Linked DNA regions of Nothobranchius furzeri. Each later gene encodes a partner of the first gene's protein in a complex. Links are inferred from orthologs where the notes say so. Each region holds a gene or a part of one and is shown on either strand. Other genes may lie near its edges.

Evidence for each region. The genes of interacting proteins can lie anywhere in the genome.
Region 2: the proteins of tyrosine-protein kinase CSK (region 1) and pag1 are in contact, whole or in part, in an NMR structure (PDB 2RSY), measured with the Rattus norvegicus proteins. The link is inferred for Nothobranchius furzeri from reciprocal best matches to the Homo sapiens genes CSK and PAG1. Residues at the interface, in NP_001025210.1 of Rattus norvegicus: Thr88, Arg89, Glu93, Arg107, Ser109, Thr110, Asn111, Tyr112, Thr117, Cys122, Glu123, Lys125, Val126, Glu127, His128, Tyr129, Arg130, Ile140, Asp141, Tyr156, Asp161, Gly162; in NP_071589.1 of Rattus norvegicus: Phe291, Ser292, Leu294, Tyr296, Lys297, Ser298, Arg299, Glu300, Glu301, Leu305, Ile310, Met313, Tyr314, Ser315, Ser316, Val317, Asn318, Lys319.

The regions. Positions count from the first base shown.
Region 1 is NC_091744.1:58,976,926-58,982,669, reverse strand, and holds part of tyrosine-protein kinase CSK, read left to right. Parts: intron 1-519; 5' UTR 520-623; coding exon 624-638; intron 639-740; coding exon 741-854; intron 855-3,091; coding exon 3,092-3,204; intron 3,205-5,744. UniProt on the Homo sapiens protein: Non-receptor tyrosine-protein kinase that plays an important role in the regulation of cell growth, differentiation, migration and immune response.
Region 2 is NC_091759.1:682,372-688,115, forward strand, and holds part of pag1 (phosphoprotein associated with glycosphingolipid-enriched microdomains 1), read right to left. Parts: intron 4,084-5,744; 5' UTR 4,048-4,083; intron 3,960-4,047; 5' UTR 3,929-3,959; intron 2,924-3,928; 5' UTR 2,880-2,923; coding exon 2,716-2,879; intron 1,117-2,715; coding exon 1,059-1,116; intron 1-1,058. UniProt on the Homo sapiens protein: Negatively regulates TCR (T-cell antigen receptor)-mediated signaling in T-cells and FCER1 (high affinity immunoglobulin epsilon receptor)-mediated signaling in mast cells.

The sequences.
Region 1 (5,744 bases):
CCAAGTCTGACTTCTTGCGCAAAACTCAGTATTCAGATTGATTCAGTGAGTGATCTGTTGGAGCGTCAGAGTGTTTGCTGTACGAGTCCCTCAAGTTTGGTCAGATCTCACCACAAGATTGCATTCCAGCGTGGCAGATAGCATAGGCTCAAACTACACAGAAGAAACCTGTAATGTTAAGTAATTGTGTGAACTTCTAATTAAAAAGAGGGAGTTAGCATCTCTAATTTGTTTTTTTTACAATGAAAGTTGCTCTATAATCATAACAAAGTGTTGCCTTGCATCATGGAAACTTGGGCACTATTTGTGGAAGAGTGATTACAAAAACAGTCCCACTTGTTCTGCTTTCTATTTGAGTATTTTATTTTTACTGTCACTGTCTGACATGTCACCACCATACATTCTGATAGAAACTGATCTGATTGTTTTAAATGATCACAAAACTAATAAATGAAATGTCTTCTTGATGATTTGCTTGTGGCTTGAAAGCTTTTACTCATATTCCGTTTCCTTCTTTAGGTTCTGTGTGTGTGTGTGTGCGCGTGTGTGTGCGTGTGTGTTTCACTAGCTCTGATGGTAGCAGCAGGAATATCTCACCAGTGAGAGGCTTCAAGCACCTCATTATGACTGAGGTCCAGGTAAGATCAACTTCTGGAGTGGTGGGGGACAAAAATGAATATTTACAGCTTTTTTTTTTTTTTTGTATTTTTCTAAAAGGTGATTCACCCATGTCGTTTTAGAGTCCATGGCCGCAGGGCACAGAGTGTGTGGCCAGGTACAACTTCCTCGGCACATCGGAGCAGGACCTGCCGTTTAACAAAGGAGACATTTTGACAATCATCGTTGTCACAAAAGTAATTGTTTTATTTGAGCATGCATTGGATGAGCTCAAAGCTGTTTTCCGTGGTGTGATGTTTTCAAGGAGAGATGCCTCCTACTACGCGCATGCACATTCTCACACCCAAGGCGTCAAAATATGACGCGTGTGATCAAGCCTCAATATATGACGATTCGGGACGCCCCAGCGCGTCAGAAGACGACGATCAGGGACAAACAGCTGACGCAGCGTCCCAGAGCGTCGGTAACCAACGCCGGTGGTGAGACGGACATTGGAACTACTTGTGAACTACTTAACCTTCCCCTCACCCCAATCCTAACCTTAAGGTCACAGTTTATGGACCTTAAGGTTAGGATTGGGGTGAGGGGAAGGTTAAATAGTCAAATAATGTCTGTGTGACCGCGCGTGTCAAACAGTGACGCCAGTGGAGCCACGTGACCCAGCGTGTCCCTGATCGTCGTCTCCTGACGCGCCGGGGCGTCCCGAATTGTCATATATTGAGGCTTGGTCACGCGTCATATTTTGACGCCTTGGGTGTGAGAATGTGTTGACAGAAAGAGCTATACACTAGTCTGATGAAGCACAAGGTTGAATGCTACACTAATCACTTGGCTCCACTATACACAGAAAAAAAATACTTTTTTATTCCCTTCCCTCCTCTTTCACTATTAGCTTGAAGCGTACAGACTGACATTAATTCAATGCGGGTCGAGTTAGCATTCAAGATAGCACCATATTAGCCTAACACAGCATACAACAATTATCTTCAGTATTATTTTATCCAAATAAAATTTTGATTACAATTCTCTAAACTACTTAGGATCTACATGTCCAGTAGAAACTTTAGCCCTTTTTAGAAGACACACCGTGTCAGCAAATCGGCGTAATACCGCCGCCACGGTGTGTCTTATGAACGCGCCTTGGCGGCAACTAAAGCTTATACCATACCATTTATTTATAAAGCACATTTAAAAACACAGCATGTCAGCTGACCAAAGTGCTATACAAGTACAAGGATAAAAACAGCATGAGTTAAACACAGCAACAACAAGAATAAAACAAGAAAACGTCAGCAATGGAAGAAAGCCATTTCATAAAAATAAGTCTTTCAAACTGATTTAAAACAAGAGAGGGAGGGAGCCTGCCCGATTGAGAGTGGGAGGGCATTCCATAAAGTGGGGGCAGCAAACATGAAAGCTCGCTCACCCTGCGATTTATATCTCATCGATGGTACATTGAGCAACAGAAAGTCAGCTGACCTCAGAGCCCGATTTGGCACATAGGGATTGATCAAGGCGGAGAGATATCCTGGGGCAGAGCCTTTCAAAATCTTAAAAAATGTCGGGAGCTTGAACATGACTCGTAAGTTTACAGGTAACCAATGCAGATGTTCCAGAACAGGAGTGATGTGGGAATGCCTGCAAGTGTTTGTCAGGAACCTGGCTGCAGCGTTCTGAACCACCTGGAGATGATTTAGAGCTGGAGCTTGAACACCTTCCTCATACCAGCTTGGCAGCATTGTTTTCCAAAAGAGGCTTTTGGCAACTCTTTATCTGTTTTGAGTCCTTGTAAATCACCAAGCTCCCTCCATCTTTTGAAAACTTCTCCAATGTTAATTCTACTCCACTTTTGTAAAAATCTCAGAGAAAGTCTGTTGACATTTTCTTTGAAACGGAGAAGGCGGCCTAGGAATTGGTGACTTGGATCCTTGTTTAAGTTGCTCCATTCCAGAGCTCCATCATCTTCCTGCATCACTCTAATGTACTCTGGGGACTGGGGTGCTTTCTCGCTGATTGACAGCTCCCTCATATGGAGACACAAATCTACTGGTCAACGCTCTAGGCTTACGTAAATTAATAGTTTTGTTGTAAAGACCAGAGGAGGGACTTAAGGGGAATGTTTATTATAAAAGATGAACCACTCTCCGTCATAGAACAGGGTCAGTTGGTCTAATTTAAAAATTAAAAATTTTAAAATACTTACCCCAGCTTTACCAATGTTTTTAATTCCCTTTCAAATTTAAAGTACAACTTCCTTATTAAAGAACGTTGCAGCTATTTAGAAGTGTGTTTGTATCTAAAGATCACTAGCCGTTAGCTCATCAGTCCATTAACTTCATTACGTTGAACAGAGGTTGTTTAAAACTGGTGATTATTCATTGTTTACGCAGAAACAATTCAAAGTGGTGGAAAAATTATTGAAATTATGATTTAAAAAAATTATTCTAGTTATTGTTGACACTTTGTGTTGCAGGATCCAAACTGGTACCAAGCAAAAAACTCTGCAGGCCGCGAGGGAACTATTCCAGCCAACTATGTTCAGAAAAGAGAAGGTGTGAAATCTGGAGGGAAATTGAGTCTAATGCCGTAAGTGTGGAGAGGATTTAAACTTCTTACATTTAAACAGCCTGTTTGGCATGGCAGAGATGCTCCAGTTGTGTGAATGGAGACCGCAGTGTTGTAATTGCAGTGCAATTGTAATCTGCCTCCGCCTCAGCTTTGCATGAACTCTGCACAGCTTCCTGTTGTTTCTTTTCTATTTCAGACAAAAGTAATCTTGAAAATCTCCTCGTTTTCCCACGTGATGGGTTTCTGCGTGCTTGCGTCTGCACATGAATAATAGGTTTCATTTTTAGTATGACTGATCAGAAATAACTTCATGAAGATAAATCTGCAGCCATACTGATGCCGTGTGCACACAAAGCTAAGTGTTAGGAAAATTAATATGAAACCACATATCTAGTGTGAAGAGGTTAATACAAAATTATGTTGCAAAAAACATGGACAGGACTTATTTCTGTTATACAGAAGCCCTTTGTTGGCAACTAAAGTGTTTTAGGAGTGCAGAAAATGGTCAAAGACAATTATTTTACAGCTCAAATTTTGCTGTTTAAAGTCTCAGTAGCAATAAAAACCCTGCAAACCAGCAGAATTGAACATTTAAGAAGAAGTAGAAAATATAATTTCTATAGCCTCTCAAGATAGAAATCACGAGGCGCTTCACAAAAACAAAAAAATGTAAAATATAAAAAATTATTTAGAAAATGATTAAAAATATATTTAAAATAAGCGAAAATAGACAATTGTGATAAAAAAATGTAAAGAAAGAGAGAGAGCAAATAGGAAAGAGGAAAATCAGTGGATCCTGAGGAAGGTGGAATAGGTAGGGAGAGCAGAACAAGGAGAGGATGATGAAGGTCACACCAAAACCAGCCTGAACAAGTGAGTCTTCGGCTGCTTTTTAAAGGAGACCACTGAGTCCACTGATCTCAGGCTCAGGGGGAGAGAGTTCCAGAGTCTGGGGGCCACAGCAGCAGATGATCTGTCACCTTTGGTCTTTAGCCTGGTGCTGCACAACCAGTAGGCTTTGATCACTGGACCTCAGGGACCTGTTGGGTAGGGTTGGGCATCGAGAATCGAGCATTGATTGTAACCTGTTCCAACTGTTCATTTTTCCCAGAATTGCACAACATTTTTATTCCGATTCCTAATGTGCAGACGGAAGAGAAATCCGCTGCCGATCTCCGTGAAAAATAAACGTGATCTGCAAATTGTGATCAATGCTTTTCAGAGCTGATCACACCAGCTGTCTGTGAGCAGCACGAGTCCCCCCTCCCTCCCTCATCCGGATATAAACAAACACGTCTGCCAAACTTCTACTCTGTAATGTAAACTTTTAACTCCTGCAGCATAGAGGAAACTTGTTAAAATACGTCAACACGGTGGATTTAATAGAAGCTTTAAAGAACAAACTCTGGACGGTGTGAGGTGATCGTCTCACTGCAGAAATAAAAACACGTGAGCGTCAGAAGGCTGAACAATAACCTGTAGAATAATTAAAGTCATCATGCTGGAGCAGCTTCTCTGTGGTGGACCACACCAGCTTCTGCCACAATAAACAATAATAATAATAATAATAATAATAATAATAATAATAATAAATCACACACAAAGTTGTGAACATTTTAATTTCCTTTCTGAACAATTTCTGTTGAGTTTTAATGTTTAAAATCTGTTAGATTGTTACTGTCAGCAGCTACATTTAAGCTTCACTTCCTGTTCTGACTGAACGCTGCTGCAGCATGGAGGTGTAGTTCTCAGTCATCCTGGACATGATCATCCTGAGAGTTGTAGCTGAAAACAGCTGGACGTTTCTGGATATGTTGGAGACATTTAGCCTCATCCCAGAGGCTTCTTCCAGACTTTGGTTGTGGTCAGAAACAAACACACTGGTTGTGCTGCAAGTCTTTTTCTTTTTTCTCCAAAACATGTTTCTGTCTAAATGAAGGTGATGTTATCGTTCATAGAATTAAAATTCATGTTGAAGTTAAGATTATTTCAACAAGTAGGACCTGTGGTTAGCTGGCTCATGTAAAGCATGTCATGTCTTGAAAGAATCGGAAGCGGGAATCGATAAGAACCGGAACCGAAAAGAGGAATTGGAATCGGAATCGTTCAAAATCAAACAATGCCCAACCCTACTGCTGGGGTTGTAGGGACTAAGAAGATCACCAATGTATGATGGTGCTTGTCCATGTAAGGCCTTAAAGACCAGAACCAGGATCTTAAAATGAACCCTGAAGTTGCTTAACAGCCAGTGAAGCTGGAGGAGAAGCGGGGTGATGAGGGTGTGTTTGGAGGACTTGGTCAGAAGCCGAGCACAGGCATTCTGAACCACCTGTAGACGGTTCAGGGAGGTTCTGCTCAGACACGTGAAAAGAGAGTTACAGTAGTCTAAGCGTGAGGAGATGAAGGTGTGGAGAACTGTCTCAAGTTCAGAGCGAGACAGAATGGGACTCAGCTTAGCAATGTTCCTGAGATGGAAGAAGGAAGAGCGAACAAGAGAACTGACATGAGAATCAAGGGTGAGAGCTGGGTCAAAGGTCACACCAAGATTCCTGACAGAA
Region 2 (5,744 bases), on another chromosome or scaffold:
ACGTTTCCGTTTTGCACTTTTTCTCTATAAAATACTAAAAACAAATTGAATTTAAGGCAAACAAAAATTATGCAAGCACTAAATCTGCCTATAGGGAGCAAAATGAGATGAAATCAACATGGTGAGCAAAGAAAATAAGAGCAACTATTCCAGTGTGTTCTGAGCCCTGACTCATCAGCATCATCTAGTTATGAAGTTCAGATACTGAGGGAACATCATATCAGGATAAATCCAGAGGTTTCCTTTGTTTAGGGTCTGTTGTTTTCAGAGTGAGAGATCAGGGTTTTTATGCTGCTCTCCATCTCCACCTAGTGGTCATTATTTTTATAGGCACTAATGTCAATGATGTCATTTTTCCTGTTTTATTTCCTTTTAACATCTTACTGTTTGATTTAAAGGTGAAAAAACAACATTTTCTGACAATATTTCCTCTTGATTAATCTAAAACAACTAATATGATGGAGTGGACTTGGAAAATATGTCCTCATTACAACCTAAAGTCCTCATAAACATAACTAGATGGTTTAACACCATCCTGATTTCAAACTGCATTAAAATGTCACTTTTATTTTACGCAAAGCCAGAAATAAGTGTTTTTAAAAATGACTGATGAGTGGGGGACAGTTCCTGGATGGATCTGCTCTCGCTCGGAGACAAAGACCCCCATTTACCCTGTCAGACGGTGACATGGTCTGTCATACAAATGGGCACCTCCTGCAACAACTCGGCGAGGCAGCAAATTACGCAGAAGCACAAGGTTACAGTAAAGATATCAATCAAATAAGAAAAACCTCACAGAGTTGGAAAGATAAGAGACTACACAACTCTCCGTCTGGTCACTGGAGCGTCAATATTATGGCGGTGGGTAATGGCTGCCTTTGCCCTGACATTGTGTTCAGAAGGACGCCGTGTTCGTTTATGGCTCGTCGTTATGAGCAGAGAGGGCCGAGGTCAACTCCATAAACACAGATTATTCTTTTCTTTAGACTCGCCTGACTGGATACCAGCCACGACGATCAGATCATATTAAACACACGTTTCTGTGACCCACGACTCACTCCGTTCACGAGGTTCAGCTGGTCTCCACCCGGGTGTCCATTTGCTGCTTTCTTCTCCCTAAAAGAGAGAATTAAGATCAATGAGAAATGGGTGATCACACAGAAATTAATCTGTGTAGTTTCTAACGTGGACACGGCTTTGTCCTTCAGGAGGTGATTTAATCCGATACCATCCAGAGTAACTCGCTACTCACACTTTTGGTTTCAGGGTGTATTTCACACTAAAAGAGTCTTTTTTAGGGGTTAATTGTGCATTATTAATGATTAGTTAATTAGAAAACAATATGGGGACAAATTTTCTTGAACGATTAAAATGCGATTAATCTAGATTAATTATAACAAAGCCTCTGATTAATTATATTCATTTTTTAATTAAGTTCCACCCTTAGTATTTCTTTTATTAATTTCATAATAAAAACAAACAAAAAATTCACATTTACAGTGACAGATGAAAGATTTGGAGAGTGGTATTCAAGCTGCATAAATTTCATAATATTTTGTTATTTTTTATATAATTTAATGCTTGGGTGTCTGGAAAAATATACACAAACATATTTCTCTTTTAAGGGAGTCAAAAGGGTTTAAATTAAAGGTACCTGCTGTATGTTAAAAGTAAACTTTTAATCAGGTTAAGCACAAAAACGCTCAATGATTACCTGAGAATGTTAAAAACGGTTTGAAAGCATGTAGGACATGTATTGTTATAAATCCTTTAGATGCAATACAAAAAACAACATATTGGTTTAGTTTAAGGAGTAAATAGAAAAACTGCTAAAGAATCTAACTTATGTTTAAAAATGTTATGTACAAACGTGCATGAGCAGCAAGACAAACAAAAATGGAAAAAAGACTTTTCGTTGTTTCGTATTTGGAAATGGTTGCATTAACATGTTACTGCAGTTTTTGTAATCTTGATTTTAATTCTTTCTTCATATTATGTATTATTTGATATAATTAATGTCATTTGTTTATACTTTATACAATTAATCTTTAAAAAAATCTGAAATATTTAAATATTTAATCTTCTATTTGATGTAAATAATACATTTAAGTTATACATAAAATTGTATTTGAAATTTTATAACAACGTATTTTGATTTCATATTTAATTAATCTTTTATTTATATATTTTTTATATTATATATATTTTTGGTAACTTAAGTGAAGTAAATCTAATCTGTTCTTTGGAATATTGTAATTTTATTTTATATTCATTTAGATTTTAGAACCTTTGATTTAAATTTGGTGTGGTTTTTAAATTTTGTTTAACTTTATCCATGAACTTGTAATTTTTAACATTGAATTTACATGATTTTAAACATATTTCTTTGTGTAAATGTCTTATTCTGTTAGTCACAAAACAGCATTTAAACGTTTTTTTATATTTCATAAAAGTTTTCATATTTAATAAATATTTTTCATTTAATAATGATTATTATTTTGCATTTTAATACTTTAGATAATCTTTGATATTAATATTTTATTTGTAAATATTTTCATGTTAAAGTAGCCCTCATCTTTTTATTTTCATGGGAAACATTGTTTGTAGTTATCGGAACAATAATGTGCAGCTATTTAATACACAAATCTGTGCTTGTGTGTGTGTGTGTGTGTGTGTGTGTGTGTGTGTGTGTGTGTGTGTGTGTGTGAAGCTCACCCCTTGCAGCTGGCACACAGCAGCAGCAGCATGGATGCCAGCAGCAAACCGGTGAGAACGCCGAGGGAGACAACAGACACCAGCTGCTCACTCCCCAGCCACAACACGCCGCCATTAGTGTCCGCCGTCCCCGACCACCAATCTCCACTCAACACCGGAGCCATGACACATCACACAGTGTGGGGAGAGGACATCGGACAGGTAGCAGCTGAGGACAAAACACAAACCTTCAGTGATTTTCAGATCCTTTTTCCAAAGGAACTCTGGGTAACATCACTGAGACAAGACTTTCTCGTTTTAAATTCAACACCAAAATTGTTCTGATGGTTTCCTTTGAAATGATGGAAGTCATGCAAACCACTAAATAAGTAAAGGAAAGTGTGTTTATGATGTTATGATGATGTCATAAAAGTCAAACATGTCAGACAGGCTCTAAATCCTGGTCCACAGCAGACAATCTGATGAGAAATAGCAGAAAAAGCACAGGTGCGTTAAAGGAGGCCGCATTCCATTTAGGGTGGTGTTCTGCTTTTGCACAAACAAAACTCACATCTGTAGAAATGGAACACAGCCATGTTACTTCTACTCTTTCAATGTAAAAGCTGACTTCATATGCTGTTTAAAAAAAGGTATATTAATATATCATATATATACCAATGTTTTATAGCTTTCTTAAATGACCTAAACTCTACCTAACCACCCAGATAGTCTCTTAACTCAGGATAAAATCCCTTTCTTTCAACTTTTTGAGGCCAAACAGCTTTTCAAACCCACTGGAGCTGAGTGCCTTTACCAGACGTGGCCAGCAGGTGGCAGGGCATAGCAGAGAAAGAGACCGGCTGCAGTGCAGACAAGTCTGCTGCAGTGGCCCTCACATCAGAGCCTTGTTTCAGAGCCACAGCATCAGAAACCTCCTCACGTCTGCCTCAGACAGCTGAAGTTGGGCTCCACTGTACCCCTGATGTTATCTCGGCTGATTTATGGGAAACGGAGAGGGGGACGTGGGTGAGACACAGCGAGGGAGGTGAGACTGTAACCGCAGGTCTACAGAAATATCAAACAAATAAACGTTTTGAAAAACTCTCCAAACACCACCGAAGGGAGTGGGGGCCGGGGGAGGAGGGGTGGGGGTGGGGGGAGATGTGCTGAAGTGTGTCGGATCACACTGAGCTGCAGAATCCAAATGAAACCTCAAAGGTTGCAGACGAATTACTTGTTTGGGTTGGAGCGTCGGCGTGTTTTCCCTGATGGGAAACAAACAAAGGAAAAACACTCGGGAGCTTGTGCTGCTTTCACCGTGAGCAAGTTGGTGAGAGGGGAACGCGGCCTTACCTTTACACCTGGGACGGTTGGTCAGGTCGGCCTTGCCTGGAAAAGAGCAGAAAAAAAGATAGAATTAGAAAGGGTGCACACACACGGGGGGTGGGGGGGGGTGGGGGGGGGGGTTACACAAATCTACTTTATTGATCAGTTAGCTCATGTAACTGAGAGGATATAATAACCAAGTGACATCACTGCAGCTGTATCATATAACTCGTTTGAACTACTCTAAATCCAACGATTATGAAAGAAAATCCAAATCACAAATATTTTTTTTACTTTATCACACTGCATTGCTTCCTCCTTTTCAGCTGAAAACACACTGGAAATGCAGCAGTGCTGCTTTTCAAAATAAGAGTGTCAAAGGACGACCCAAAAGCACGGAGCAAAGTGCATTCTGCAATATGCCCCAGACTTTATACTATAATCTGTGTTCCTTTTTACCAACGTTTTCCTTCCCTGTATGGTTGGATATTTATAATTTAAACATTTTTATTTATTGTCTGATTACGTAAAACCTAAAATTTCAAGACTTTACATTTAAGGATGCTGCAGTTACCATATGAAACCAACAGATGGCAGAGTTGAACTGTTTAGAATATTGAGTATTACTTTAAAGTTAAAGTTAAAGTCCCATTAGTTGTCACACACACAGGTGTGTGTGCAAAATTTATTCTCCGCATTTGACCCATCCCCTGGGGGAGCGGTGAGCTGCAGACAAGCCGCGCTCGGGAACCATTTGGTGGTTTAACCCCCCAATCCAACCCCTTAATGCTGAGTGTCAAGCAGGGAGGCACTGGGTCCCATTTTTTCAAAGTCTTTGGTATGACCCGACCAGGAATCGAACCCCTGATCTCCCAGTCTCAGGGCGGACACTCTACCACTAGGTCACTGAGAAAGGTGGCCTAATGGCCACACTAGAATCAATATGGTCACCTTTAACATGCCAATAGTCAGGCTTGTCTGGGCTAGGAACTAAAGAAATATTTGGAGGATGTGTTGTCACCAATTAAATAAACTAATAACAGGAGAGTTTCTATGGAAGCCAGGAGGTTCAAACTGGAAAGAAGCTGCTCTGGTGCGTGGAGATCCTTTTGCATATAACGTAGGCACATTTTGGTGTCCATCCTATGTCGCCAGTGCTTTGCCCTTGTTCTTCCATCTTTATTTGTGCTGACTTTTTAACCCCACCAGAAATGACTAAGAAGGGGCGGAGACAGAAACACATCAGGGTTTCCCCCAGAAAATGAGTTAAACCTTCGGCCGTCTTGGGGGGGGGGCACACGTTCCGCTGCTGTTTCTCACCAGTATCAGCTTATGGAGGGCTCTAGTTTCGTTGCGCCGTTCGTGTCAGAGGACACGGTAGGGTCGGGAGGGGGGCGGGACATGACGCCTAGCCTGGCGGGTGACCAAGTAAAGCCTGGCGGGCCGCCAGGCTTATAAAGCGCTGGGGGAAACCCTGAACATAAAAGCATTCTTTCAAAGAGGTTAATGACAAAAATTACAAAATAAAAGTTGAACAACAAATCTAATGAATTGCAGAGCCCAAATCAATTCCATGTGAGTACGGTTACTCAGCGGTAACAGCCCCAAAAAATCACATGGGAGATTCAACCAAAAACAGTTTAACACCATCTTTGATTTCAATCATTTCAGAATAAACCTGTTTGTAGAATGTTCATCTAATACGTAAACAGGCTGGATTTCCT